Linked DNA regions of Mus musculus: all the other regions are reported to be linked to region 1. Evidence: microRNA targets listed by miRTarBase, many of them from high-throughput screens and not tested one by one. Region 1 holds a microRNA gene; each other region holds the end of a gene's coding sequence.

Evidence for each region. Region 1 holds the annotated microRNA mmu-miR-669p-5p (AGUUGUGUGUGCAUGUUCAUGUCU, at 1,620-1,643, opposite strand). A microRNA usually pairs through its seed, bases 2 to 8, with sites in the 3' UTR of a target mRNA and lowers its output. Matches are read on the target gene's strand: a 7mer-m8 pairs with bases 2 to 8, a 7mer-A1 pairs with bases 2 to 7 and ends in A, and an 8mer does both.
Region 2: miRTarBase lists Xk as a target of mmu-miR-669p-5p. Seed matches in the 3' UTR shown: 8mer at 2,792-2,799.
Region 3: the mRNA of Slc31a2 is a reported target of mmu-miR-669p-5p. Seed matches in the 3' UTR shown: 8mer at 1,314-1,321.
Region 4: the mRNA of Lrtm1 is a reported target of mmu-miR-669p-5p. The part of its 3' UTR that is shown has no 7-base or 8-base seed match.

Annotation. Positions count from the first base shown.
Region 1 is chr2:10,492,534-10,495,685 of GRCm38, reverse strand. Mir669a-9 (microRNA 4669a-9) reads right to left here and starts at 1,658; the gene lies at 1,572-1,658. All of the region lies in intron 10 of Sfmbt2 (Scm-like with four mbt domains 2), which reads right to left. Mir467a-7 (microRNA 467a-7) reads right to left here and starts at 2,176; the gene lies at 2,094-2,176. Mir466b-6 (microRNA 466b-6) reads right to left here and starts at 1,888; the gene lies at 1,799-1,888.
Region 2 is chrX:9,309,377-9,312,376 of GRCm38, forward strand. It overlaps Xk (X-linked Kx blood group), which reads left to right. Exons shown (of 3, transcript NM_023500.2): 3 at 1-3,000. The coding sequence ends at 373. Among named protein-coding and RNA genes, the nearest start is that of Gm25481, 6.9 kb to the right of the region's middle.
Region 3 is chr4:62,296,965-62,299,964 of GRCm38, forward strand. It overlaps Slc31a2 (solute carrier family 31, member 2), which reads left to right. Exons shown (of 4, transcript NM_025286.3): 4 at 11-1,448. The coding sequence ends at 179. Among named protein-coding and RNA genes, the nearest start is that of Slc31a2, 12 kb to the left of the region's middle.
Region 4 is chr14:29,027,211-29,030,210 of GRCm38, forward strand. Lrtm1 (leucine-rich repeats and transmembrane domains 1) reads left to right here. Exons shown (of 3, transcript NM_176920.4): 3 at 114-3,000. The coding sequence ends at 544. All of the region lies in intron 27 of Cacna2d3 (calcium channel, voltage-dependent, alpha2/delta subunit 3), which reads right to left. Among named protein-coding and RNA genes, the nearest start is that of Lrtm1, 11 kb to the left of the region's middle.

The DNA of each region.
Region 1 (3,152 bases):
GCACTTGTGCATACCTAGGGTCCATCACACAAAAACAGGGTGATCTCTCACTCATTATGAAGTTAAGCATGAATTTGAACTCCTGAGACTCCTAACTCTGGCAAGTGGTTTTCATCTGATAAGAGAGATTTTTCCCTATACCATGAATATACACTCAATGAAACTCTAAGCACGTATAAATCAAAAGGATGACTGCCATGTGTGTTTGTGTGCACATGTATGTTTCCCTAGTTGTGTGTGTGTGTGTGTGTGTGTATATATATATATATATATATATATATATATATACATATATATATATATATATATGCATGTTCATATACGCGCATGTACACGCACACTTCACCTATACACATAAACACAAACACAGGGAAAATCACATGAATTCCGGGCTGATCTCTAACTCATCATAAAGTTAAACATGAATTTGAATTGCTCATCCTCATGATGCTGGCAAGAGTATTCACCTCCTAACTAAGTCATAGCTCGGGCCATTCGTGGGAGTATGTTTGCATGTGAGTATATGCATATTCATGTACAGAAGTGAATATGTACTCAACTATACACACATGCACATTCTTGGTGGGCATCACATGAATCGCATGCTGAACTCTAACTCATCATGAAGTTAAACATAAATTTGAATTCCTCATCCTGACACTGACAAGAGTGCTCACCTCCTAACTGAGACATAGCTCTGGCCATTCCTATGAATGTGTGTGCATGTGTGTATATGCATATTCATATAGAGAAGTGAATATGCACACAACTATACACACATGCACATTTTTGGTGGGCATAAGATGAATCCCATGCTGATCATGAACTCATCACAAAATTCAGCACGAATTTGAACTCCTGATCCACCTGACTCTGTCAAGGGATTTCTCCTGCTGAGTGAGACCTCTCCCCATTCAGTAATGAGGAATCTTAAAACTCTAAGTCACATATCATTCAAATGGATCGATGAGTTGCATTCATGTTTGTGTGTGTGTTACTGTTTGTGTCTGTGTACATGTATATATTTGTGTAGATAGGTACATCCATATACTCAAATCCACACACAATAGAAACAGATACAGATAGGGATACATAGGGGGCATCACATGAATCCCAGGCATATCTCTAAGTCATCATGAAGTAAAGCATGAATTAGAACTCCTGATCCACAATCTTTCACACCTGGTGAGTAAAACCATTCACTGTCCCACTACTGCATAATCTTGAAAACTTTAAGTCACGTATCATTCAAACGTATAAATGAATGCAATTTTTTCCTGTGTGTGTGTGCTTGCATATACACGTGTGTTTATGTTATGTATATCATGTCAACACATACAATGCACATACAAGTAAGCACACATGCACATACATGGGTTGCATGACATTAATACCAAGATGTCTCCAAATGAAGTTAAGCATGAATTTGCAATCCTTATCCTCCTGACTTTGTCAATCGTTTACACCTGGTGAGTGAGGACATTCAATGCCCCCTATTGCATAATCTCTAAAACTCTACATCACTTATCATTCAAAGGGATTGGCGAATGCCATTCCTGTGTCTGTGTATGTGTGCTTGCGTTTATACGTGTGTGTGTATGTTATGTATATTCAAATATAGACATGAACATGCACACACAACTATACACACATGCACATACATGGAGGAATCACAGGCTGATCTCTCATGAGGATAAGTATGAATTTGAACTCCTGATACTCTTAACTCTAGCAAGCATTTTCACTCTAAGTCACTTATCACTCAAATGGATTGATGAGTGCCATTCCCATGTGTCTGTGTGCTCATATGTGTCTTATGTGTGCGTGTATGTATATGTATATCATATTCACACATGTACATGTACACACACATCAACACATACACACATACATAGGGGCAATCACATGAATGCCAGGATGACCTCTAACTCATCATGCCTTTACCATGAACTTGCACTCCTGATCTTCTCGAATCTACCAAGGGTTTTCCTGTGGTTTGTGAGACCTCACCCTGGCCCAGTCATACATAACCTCCAAAGCAGTAGGTCACATTTCATTCAAATGGATCCGTGAGGGCCATTCCCGCATGTCTGTGTGCATGTGTGTGTAGGTGTGTGTATGTATATGCATAAAATATACACGCATATACATGCAGGCACTTACGCACACAGGCACATACATAGGGGCCATCACATTATTCCAGGATGATCTCTAACTGCTCATGAAGTTAAGCATGAAATTGAACTCCTGATCCTCCTGACACTGACAATTGTTTACACCTGGTGAGTGAGAATATTCACTGTCCCTCTACTTTATAATCAGCAAAATTCTAAGACATAAATCATTCAAATGGATCAATGAGTGTCATTCTTATGTGTGTGAGTGTGCATGCCTGTGTGTGTGAATACATTTGTATGTGTGTGTATTTATATGTATGATCATATACACACATGTACGTGCACACACAATTATATGCACTTGTGCATACCTAGGATCCATCACACAAATACAGGGTGATCTCTAACTCATTATGAAGTTAAGCATGAATTTGAACTCCTGAGACTTTTAACTCTGGCAAGTGGTTTTCATCTGATAAGTGACATTATTCCCTATACCATGAATATACACTCAATGAAACTCTAAGCACGTATAAATCAAATGGATGACTGCCATGTGTGTTTGTGTGCACATGAATGTGTCCCTAGTTGTGTGGGTGTATATATATATATATATATATATATATATATATATATATATATATATATATATGCATGTTCATATACGCGCATGTACAGGCATACTTCCCTATACACATAAACACAAACACAGGGAAAATCACATGAATTCCGGGCTGATCTCTAACTCATCATAAAGTTAAACATGAATTTGAACTGCTCATCCTCATGATGCTGGCAAGAGTATTCACCTCCTAACTGAGTCATAGCACGGGCCATTCGTGGGAGTATGTTTGCATGTGAGTATATGCATATTCATATACAGAAGTGAATATGTACACAACTATACACACCTGCACATTCTTGGTGGGCATCACATGAATCGCATGCTGAACTCTAACTCATCATGAAGTTAAACATGAATTTGAACTCCTCATCCTCCTGACACTGGCAAGAGTGCTCACCTCCTAACTGAGA
Region 2 (3,000 bases), not on the chromosome of region 1:
GAGATTCATCGAGAACTCCGTCCTCCTGCTCCTGTGGTATTTTTTTAAAACTGACATATACATGTATGTGTGTGCGCCTCTGTTGATCTTGCAGCTGCTTATTGGGTACTGCACTGGCATTCTCTTCATGCTTGTGTTCTATCAGTTTTTCCACCCTTGCAAAAAGCTCTTCTCCTCCAGTGTTTCGGAAAGCTTTAGGGCACTTCTCAGGTGTGCCTGTTGGTCCTCCCTGAGGAGAAAATCCAGCGAGCCAGTAGGAAGGATAGACACAGACTTAAAGGCGTGCACAGAGCAAGATGTAATGCCTACTACCAGTAAAGTGATCCCCGAGGCCACTGACATCTGGACTGCTGTTGATCTGTGCTCTGCTTAATGAGACCCGAGGCTTCTGACAAGTAATGAGCCTTCACACACATCATGAGCCCTGCGCAGGGACTAAGGCACGAAGTTAGCTGTCAGTTCCCTGTGAGCTGCTACCTTTTATAAACCCCTTGGCTTTGAGGCAGCTTTGAGTGCATTAAAGAAGCCTACTACCCCACAGTTTGTTTCGCATTTGACTCTGTTCTGTTCTTGCATCCTCACTGGCCATTTCATTGATTGACACAGTATCCCTGAAGTTTCAGTTGAGCTGGTCATACTCATCATTAGAATGAAGAGAAATGCTCGTTTTCTAGTTCCTAGCCTGTTGTCTCAGTAGCCTAATGCTTTACTACTACTGAATATAGCTTTATACAAGAGTCACCATGATAGCTGGGATAGGTTCCTAGGGATTTTACAACTTTGTTCCAATTATAGCTTATAGGAGAGCTATTTAAGTTTGTTTTATTGGTATGTTCCATTTTCACCTCACTAAGACTTTTTGTACATAACCAACTGTAGCCACTCTGGCATGCAATGTGCATTTTGTTTCAAGGGCCTACATTTGGGACTTTAGGATCCATTGGTACAGTTACTTAGGAAAGCCGTGTTTCATTCCACATGTTGAAGAAAGTAGGGATCAGGATCGATTGAGACAACTGTTAAAACATCAAAAACGATGGAAGCTCATACAAATATCTAAATGTTTAAAATATGAATTGCTCAGAAGGTAGGCTTCATTCTCCTCATAATTCAGGCTTGTCCTATAATTCTGAGAAATTTCTAGTAGAATTTTCTAAGATTAATATTTTAAGAAGGAAGAAAATAAAACTAATAGTCTCCACCTCTATCTTTCCCTTCCTTGCGTGCCAGGCAAGTTTTAAACAAGCCTTTTAACCTCAGTTCATTTGCTGTTGTTTCTAGAAAGCTCTGTAGAAATCTGTTTCCTGATGCAAGTATACAGGACATTTTATTTTTCACAATCTTAAGAAAAAGAAGTGTTTTCCTCACTACCATCCTTAGTTAGAAATGTTGATCTTAGAAACTTTTTAAGTTATAGAAAGTAATGAAATGATCAAGTTTTTGTTCCTCATGAAATCCATTTTGACTTAATAGCAGTTCATTTTCATGAGATACTCAGTTTTGTCCTCCACACCATTTCATCTAATGGATAATTTCTCTCTCATCTGGAAGTATTTATTTTAATTTAAAAGGGTTGGATAGAATATTGTCAGTACTCTGACAAAGGTGCCAGCAAGCAATGCTATGATCTCTACCACTAAATGTGGATGATGAAATGTCTACAAACAAGTGACCATGAAATTCACACCAACTTAACTTGAAAATTGTAACAAAATGTAATGCATTTCCAAAGGCACCCCTATTTGTGATTCTATGGGATAGAATAGATATTCAATTTTCTGATCACCTAAATACATAAAACACATTTATCTGGCCATCATACTCCTCATAATTGCTTTTTAAAAACTCTTTTGGTATCAAATTGATGAGAAATTTCATAAACAAATGAACATTCAGTTTGGTAAGTATTTTACTATACTAGAGGCTTCGTAAAATAGTAAGTATTCTTTGATGTGTCATTCACGCTGTTAATCTTTGTACCATTTTGTATGCACACATTTCAGTAAGGTTCTGAACCACAGAGCGTCCGTTTTCTTTCCTGAAATATTTTTCCTCATTTGTACTTCTTCTGTTTTACCAGGATTTGTGGTTTACCTGTATGAGAATGCATAGGCAGCCCATCATTTTTGATCACTTTTAACATATAAAAGTCAAATTGATGTTTGTCTGTTTGCTGTTGACCCCTGTACCACTTTTCCTGTTTGTAATACATCTAGATCTAGTTAGTGTACATCATCAAAGTGATACTTTATATGACAGATAAATCTTTGTACTTTTCTTGCTCAGAGGTACAAAACTGTTGAACATACATAGCAAGTACAGGGAAAGTACAGGGAAAACAAGCTTAAAATGCTAAAGCACTCCTGTTTGGGTTATTAAGAAATCCAAAATGATTGAAAGGGTAGGAAGAACATCCCTAGGTCAACCCAAAATGCTCTTCTCTGTCAAATCATTTCCTTATGTTTACAGGCACCAGGTGTTTTCAGTCTTTAATGTGAAGAAAATCCTTTCCTTGAAGCTTTCCAGTGACTGAGGGGAGAGATGGTACCCATTTCCAATTTCAGGTCATGCCTTGAGAGTGAGATTAGCGCCACTCTGACACTTCCTAGGCAGGTTCGGAATTAGACAAGGGTAAGGATACTTGTATTTTTCCAGCCTTGGTTTAGAAGCATGACCCAGAAATACTTTTAAACTCTTAATTTTCAAATATATTGTAAGCCCTTTTACCTTAGTCAGTTGGTAAGCATCTTGAATGACCTCAAACCAAACTAACTAGCAGTGATAAACTATCACACAACAAAGGCCCGCCCAGGTCCCGCTTTATAAAGACAGGTGTTTTTTTATTTTGTATTTTTAGCTAATTAGATATTATTTCAGTCTCTTGATAAGTAGGCTTTTTCCTTGTGCAGTCCCACAAGCTTACTTAATTATTCTATGCATCCATTTCCTAACTTACCAAATTAACATGATACGATATAGTATTCCAACTTACCTCATAAA
Region 3 (3,000 bases), not on the chromosome of region 1:
TTATGTCTAGGTGGTTTTTGTGTTACTTTGGCCAGTCCCTAGTCCATGTCATTCAGGTGGTAATTGGCTACTTTGTGATGCTGGCTGTCATGTCCTACAACACCTGGATTTTCCTCGGTGTGGTCCTGGGCTCGGCTGTGGGCTACTACCTAGCCTACCCACTTCTCAACATGACTTAGTGGGCCAGAGATGTGCAGTGCGGAGGGCTGGAGAGAGCTGGGGCCTCTGTTCCAGACATTGTACTTCAGCTGCTTTTCCTTATGGTGGCCATTGCTCACCTCTTTCCCAGTTCCTGGAGACTTTGAGATGAAACCAGCAAATGGTCCCTGGAGCTTAGAAGCCATTGAAGCTACCTCCCTCCCCAGCCTCTCTAGGGCCCAGGCTCCTGTGGTGCCTTAAGCAAGTAGCTGTGACCAAAGGGAACATGGAGAGACCAGAAGCTGGAGGTAGGGTGGCCAGCCTGTGACACAGATCTCTGACTGCAAATTAAAGTTTTCCAAAGAGCTTCAGTGGTCAAGGCCATGGAACCTGGATACTCTCTTCTGCTTTGTGCCTTAATGTCAGGGTCATCTCCAGCCTTTAGGGGACAGACCACGCCAGCTCCTTGTTCTCACCTTTTTGCCTTGGAACACATGAGGATTGTCATTGACAAAACAAGCTTTTCATTTTCAACTCCTGGTTGGCAGTTTTGCACATTCATACAAAACAAAATTTCTAATGAACTCATTGTATTCAGGATGGATGGCAGTGTCTGTTGAGACTTGTCTCCCCTTCTCGAGGGAAGACTGATGCTGATTAAAGGCAGAGACCCAGGACTGTTACTGAGGCTGTGGGCTTGTCCTGTGTACAGATGAGCTCTTCCTGTCTGACAGCACTGCCTGCAGCAGGTTAGTGGTCAGAGCCTTGCCCGAGCCTCTTGTGTGCACCAGAGAGGACAGCATCTGATAACAGAGCTGACTGCCCCTTATATTTCCTTACTGCTAACTCCTAATGATCTGGTAGGAAATGTGAGTCAGTCACTTTAGTACTGACTCAGCAGGGGTGTGCTGGGGCTGGGTACTGACTGAGGGTGCAATAGCAATCAAACCAAAGCTAGGTCATTTTAAGAGTTTGGTGGACTCCAGATATTTGAGCCTTTTCACTTTACACAGAAAAGTTAAGACAGGAATGGGGACATATACCTGTAATCTTCAGGATGTGGGAGGCTGAGGCAGGAGATTGCGACTTTGAGGCCAGCTTGAGCTACATAGAGAGTTGCAGGCCAGCCTGAGATACACAGTAAAACACACACACACACACACACACACACACACACACAACAATCACTGCTACATACTTTATAATGTCTGTGTTCAAGTACCTCATGGGCCCAATGAAAAGATGGTTTTAAGAAGTTTTGGGAATTAAAAACAAATACACTTTAATAAATTTCTATTTTTGAACAGTCTGTGTTTGTTGGTCCGTTTCTTCTCTTTCCAACAGTACACATTACCAATGCAGGCACTGGGGGACACTCTGTAAGACCAAGGACTAAGGCTGCCTGTGATAAAGACACCTCTATGTGCAGGGAAACTGAGGCCGGAAATGTGCCTGTGGGTAGATTAGTCATGATAGGTTCATTAGCAAGTTACTGCTTGGAACAAGTGCCTGCTGTAGGGAGAGTAACTGTCATGTTGGCCTGAGAGTCAGCACCTTCCCATCCTGGGGGGCAGAAGCAAAACCCTGGTCATCTTTTTATTTGCAGTAAGAAGCAAGTGTCACAGGTGTGGAAGAGGGCACCTGTGGGGTTGCTTGCTGCCCACTCTAGTGGAGTTGTGACCGCCTGTGCTGGCCAGCATCTGCTCTGGGGGCACTGCTGGGATGGACAATTCCATGAGTGATTGTCAGGTTTCTCAATACTGTTTTATTACAGTCACGGTATTTGAGACTTTAGTGGAGTAGGGGTCTTTATAGGTGCTGACTAGTTGGACAGAGTCGCACTTGATGCAATTATTGCCTCATTCCATCCTCACTACCACACAGGAACTCTGCCTTCATCCCAGAGATGAGGAAGCTGAGCACGAGACAGTCACCTGAGGATGAGCAGCTGCGTGGCACTCAGTGTTTCCTCAGACTCTGATGAGGGTCAGAGGTGGCTCAGCGCCTGTGGTATACGCACGTGGGCTCAGACTGCAGGTGGTGATTGTTCTTTGTTTCCACAATGGCTGGAAATTCTCTCCGGTTGGGAGGTAGGGCCAGGTGCCTGAATTTTTTTTTTTTCTTTAGGGCTAGAGCCAAATCTAGGGCATGTGCATGCTGGGCAAGTGTTCTACCACTGAGATACACAGTCCTGGACCAGTATTCCCAACAAGCAAGATTGGCAAGGACGGAGGACAAGAGCTCAGCTCTTGATCAGCTGGGCAGGATCAGAATTCTTGTCCTGCTTGCTAGCTATGTAACTGTGGGCAGGTTACTCTGCTCCTCTAAGCCCACTTTCTCCTCTGTAAAATTGGGATAACAGAGCATGACCAACGGTTAACAGCATCTGTTGCCCTTTTAGAGGACCTGGGTTTGGTTCTCAGCACCCATAGTAGCTCATAACTGTAGCACCCAGTTCCAGAGGCTCTGCTGCCTTCTTCTGGCCTCTGCATACACATAGACACACATGCAGGCCAAACACACATACATATCAAGTAAAAAGTAATCTTTTAAAAAATGGGGATAACAGCGTCTTCTGCAGTGACTGGTAGTGTATACAGACTGTGTCACTGCCACCAGTGCAGAAGACACTGTTATCCACATTTTATAGAGGAGAAAACTTAGGCTTAGTGGTCAACGTAACTTGTTTAACCAATAATTCAGTCTTTCTCAATGCGTCCTAGGCCCAAATGTAGGACAGGCACAAAGCCTGCCAGGGTAATGGCCAGATGCAGACGGAATTCAGGATACAGTCTTACAAACATTTAAAATCATGCAAAATCATTTTTGTTTAAATTATTCTGTTTTTAAGATGGGCTCCAT
Region 4 (3,000 bases), not on the chromosome of region 1:
CCTAACAAATTCCTAGCCATAAATAATTGTCTATTTACTCTGTGGCAGGCTGAGGACTTTGGAATACTGCTGTATCAAAGCTCCATCATCATTCTTTGCTTTGTTTCTTGAAGGGGGAGAAACAGATGGTGCCATCTGCAGGCTGCCTGAACCCTGGCAGGGAAAGGCTCTCCTCTCCATTCCTCACGAACTGTACCAACCCTGTTCTCTACCTTCTCAGGATTTGGCACCCTCACTAGTCCAGCAGCCTGGTTCTGCCCCGCAAGATGCCCAGAAGTCTCATGAGAATAGCTCAGGACAGCAAGATCCCTTGGAGTGTGAGGCCAAACCCAAACCAAAGCCAACCAACCTGCGCCATGCTGTGGCTACTGTGGTCATCACTGGGGTAGTATGTGGGATCGTATGTCTCATGATGTTGGCGGCTGCTATCTATGGATGTACCTATGCAGCCATCACAGCCCAGTACCAAGGGAGACCCTTGGCATCAGCCAGGAAGTCTGAGAAGATGGGAAGTAAGGAACTTATGGACAGTTCATCAGCCTGAGAGCCTTCATTTCCAAGGTCCCCTCGATCACTGAGGGCCCGGAAGAAATATCTGAGTGAGCTTGATGTGTTCGATGCTCCTGTCCCATGTTTTATCTTCCAAAACAACTAAGGAAAAAATGTATCCAAAAAATAAAACAAAGTACTCAGTAGGAAGAAGTTTAAATACCATAGATATAATAGACACACTCATATCTTGCAACTGAGAAGATATGACAAGAAGTCTATGTGTAGGAACAAAAAGAAGAGCGACGCCATCTCTTTTAGGTACCTGTTTCTGGATTAAGCTGGATTCTGCAGAGCAATAAGAATTCGGACATGTGTGCCAATAGGCATTTTTAAGAGCTCTGGGGCCACCAGTTGGAGTGCCTGGGAATTGGCTAGTGCTCTTACCCGACCCGTACTGGCTGCCTCTTAATTCCAGTTCATGCTAGATTGGTAGGATGTTGAGATGTTGCGTATGTTACACATTTAGTGGAAATGTCTGTTGGTTGGGAATTTCATAGCTGGCCACAAGACTCAGATTATATTTAATTTTCTAAATCAGAAAACCATTTGGGGCTCTCTAAGCTGCAGGGGAAGATGAAGGTTCCATGTCTGGATAATGGGACTCAGGCCCGGAGCCTGGGCAAGGTTTTGATGTGAAGGAACACAGAGAGAATAGTAAACTAGAATACAGGGCAGATATCATCAAGAGACCATATCCACCAAGCAATGGGAACCTTATCCTAGAACTCTCCCAGCAGGGATGGCTTTTGCTTAGGCTGAATGGTGGCTGTGTCTCTGCATCCACATCTACATCTGCAGTGCACAGAGGGCATGGATTTGTACAGCTACACCCACACATAAACACCCTTGGAGCAATCAGCTTACCCACTAATGAAATGCAGCCGTGTCGGGTGGGAGCCAGTAGCTGTTGATCACCACCCAGATTGTATGCTCAACACTCTGGGATAGGAAATAAGAAGGAAGTTTGAGGGGGAGTGGGAGTTACTGGGGGGTGGGCGCGGGACTCGAGGCACTGGAGGGCAGACATCCTGGCTAGTGCTTCAGCATGGCTTTAAAAAGTTCAGGTATGGCTTGCAGAGTCCACAGACTTAGTCTGAGAGAGTTGCATGCAAAGTGAATTTTTATAAATTGAATCATCATTTGAATGCAGCAGGGGAGCTCGCTATTTAAAGGAACCTTTCATGGAATCTTTTCTGTAATGGAAATAATTGGCTCCAGATTGATGCATTTTTTTTCCAAATTTGCATTTCTATGCTAGGGTTTCTTAAAGTGGAATATACCTATACCTACTCTTTCTGTTTACACTACAGGCACATTTTAGGATTATAACTCTTTTGCACAGGAAGAGAGCACAGAGGAGTTAAAGACATGTTAAAGGCAGAAAATGACAAATATGGGGCAAGCTGTTCCTCTAGAGCCCATGACAGACATTGCTAATCAATCCCAGCTCTTTTCCCAGCTGAGCCTCAAATATACCACAGATGGTTTCTTAAGACAGCACTATAGGCAACCAGAACTAATCAATTGGAGTTGGTTCAAAGGATAAAGCACATTTGCCATTCAGGGTACTGGCTCGACTTCACCCCTCAAGGCCATGTAAAAATTGGTTTGGATCCCCAGTCAGTTGTCTACTCCTCAACCGGAATATAAATGGGATGTGCACATGTTGGGATGGACAGCTGTTGAGTGTGCTATAAGCAATGGAAACCTTGTATATACCAGTGGGCTAAGGGCAGACTGTCATTTTGGAGTATCAATTCAGCTACATAATTTTTTTTAATAGCAGAAGAAGTTTAAATGTGAATGGTCACAATGAACCCCATTAGTGCATGTAATTAATATGCATTAAAAATTATAACGTGTAAGGGAACAGCACACCAAGATTTCCCAGCAAAGGCCCACAGCTGCATGGGCTGTCATTTGCCCTGACATCTCTCTTTTGTGCCAAGGTAGCTCAATTCAACTGTGTGACTGAGTTTCTATTCTAAGGATGTAGCAACTACTTTCAAACTAAAAAAAAAAAAAGCATTTCTTTCCATTGTCCTAACTGCACCTTTTTTTTTTTCCTTTTGGCCAAAAACATAATGCGAGAGGAAATTGAGAAAGTTCCTTTACTCTTCCTCTTGATTTGGCCAAATGTTCTTCAAGCTCACGCTGTTAGCAGGCATGGCTCACTGTTCTCATGAGCATTCCTCATAGAATTCTGACACTCGCCCCGTGGAGTCTTGGGCAGCTAGCACATGCCCTAAGAACTCCCAAGGCCAGCAGTACATACCTCCTCTAACAAGTGATTTAGGACTGCAAGTGTACTCTGCCCTGTCAGTGGTTTGGCGATGCTGCAGATCAGCCTTGCCCTCTCCTCTCAGAGATTACATAAAAGAGTTTCTAGTACACTGCGCAAACCATGAACGTGGCGCAAACCCTCGCCTGTCAACACCCTGATCCTAT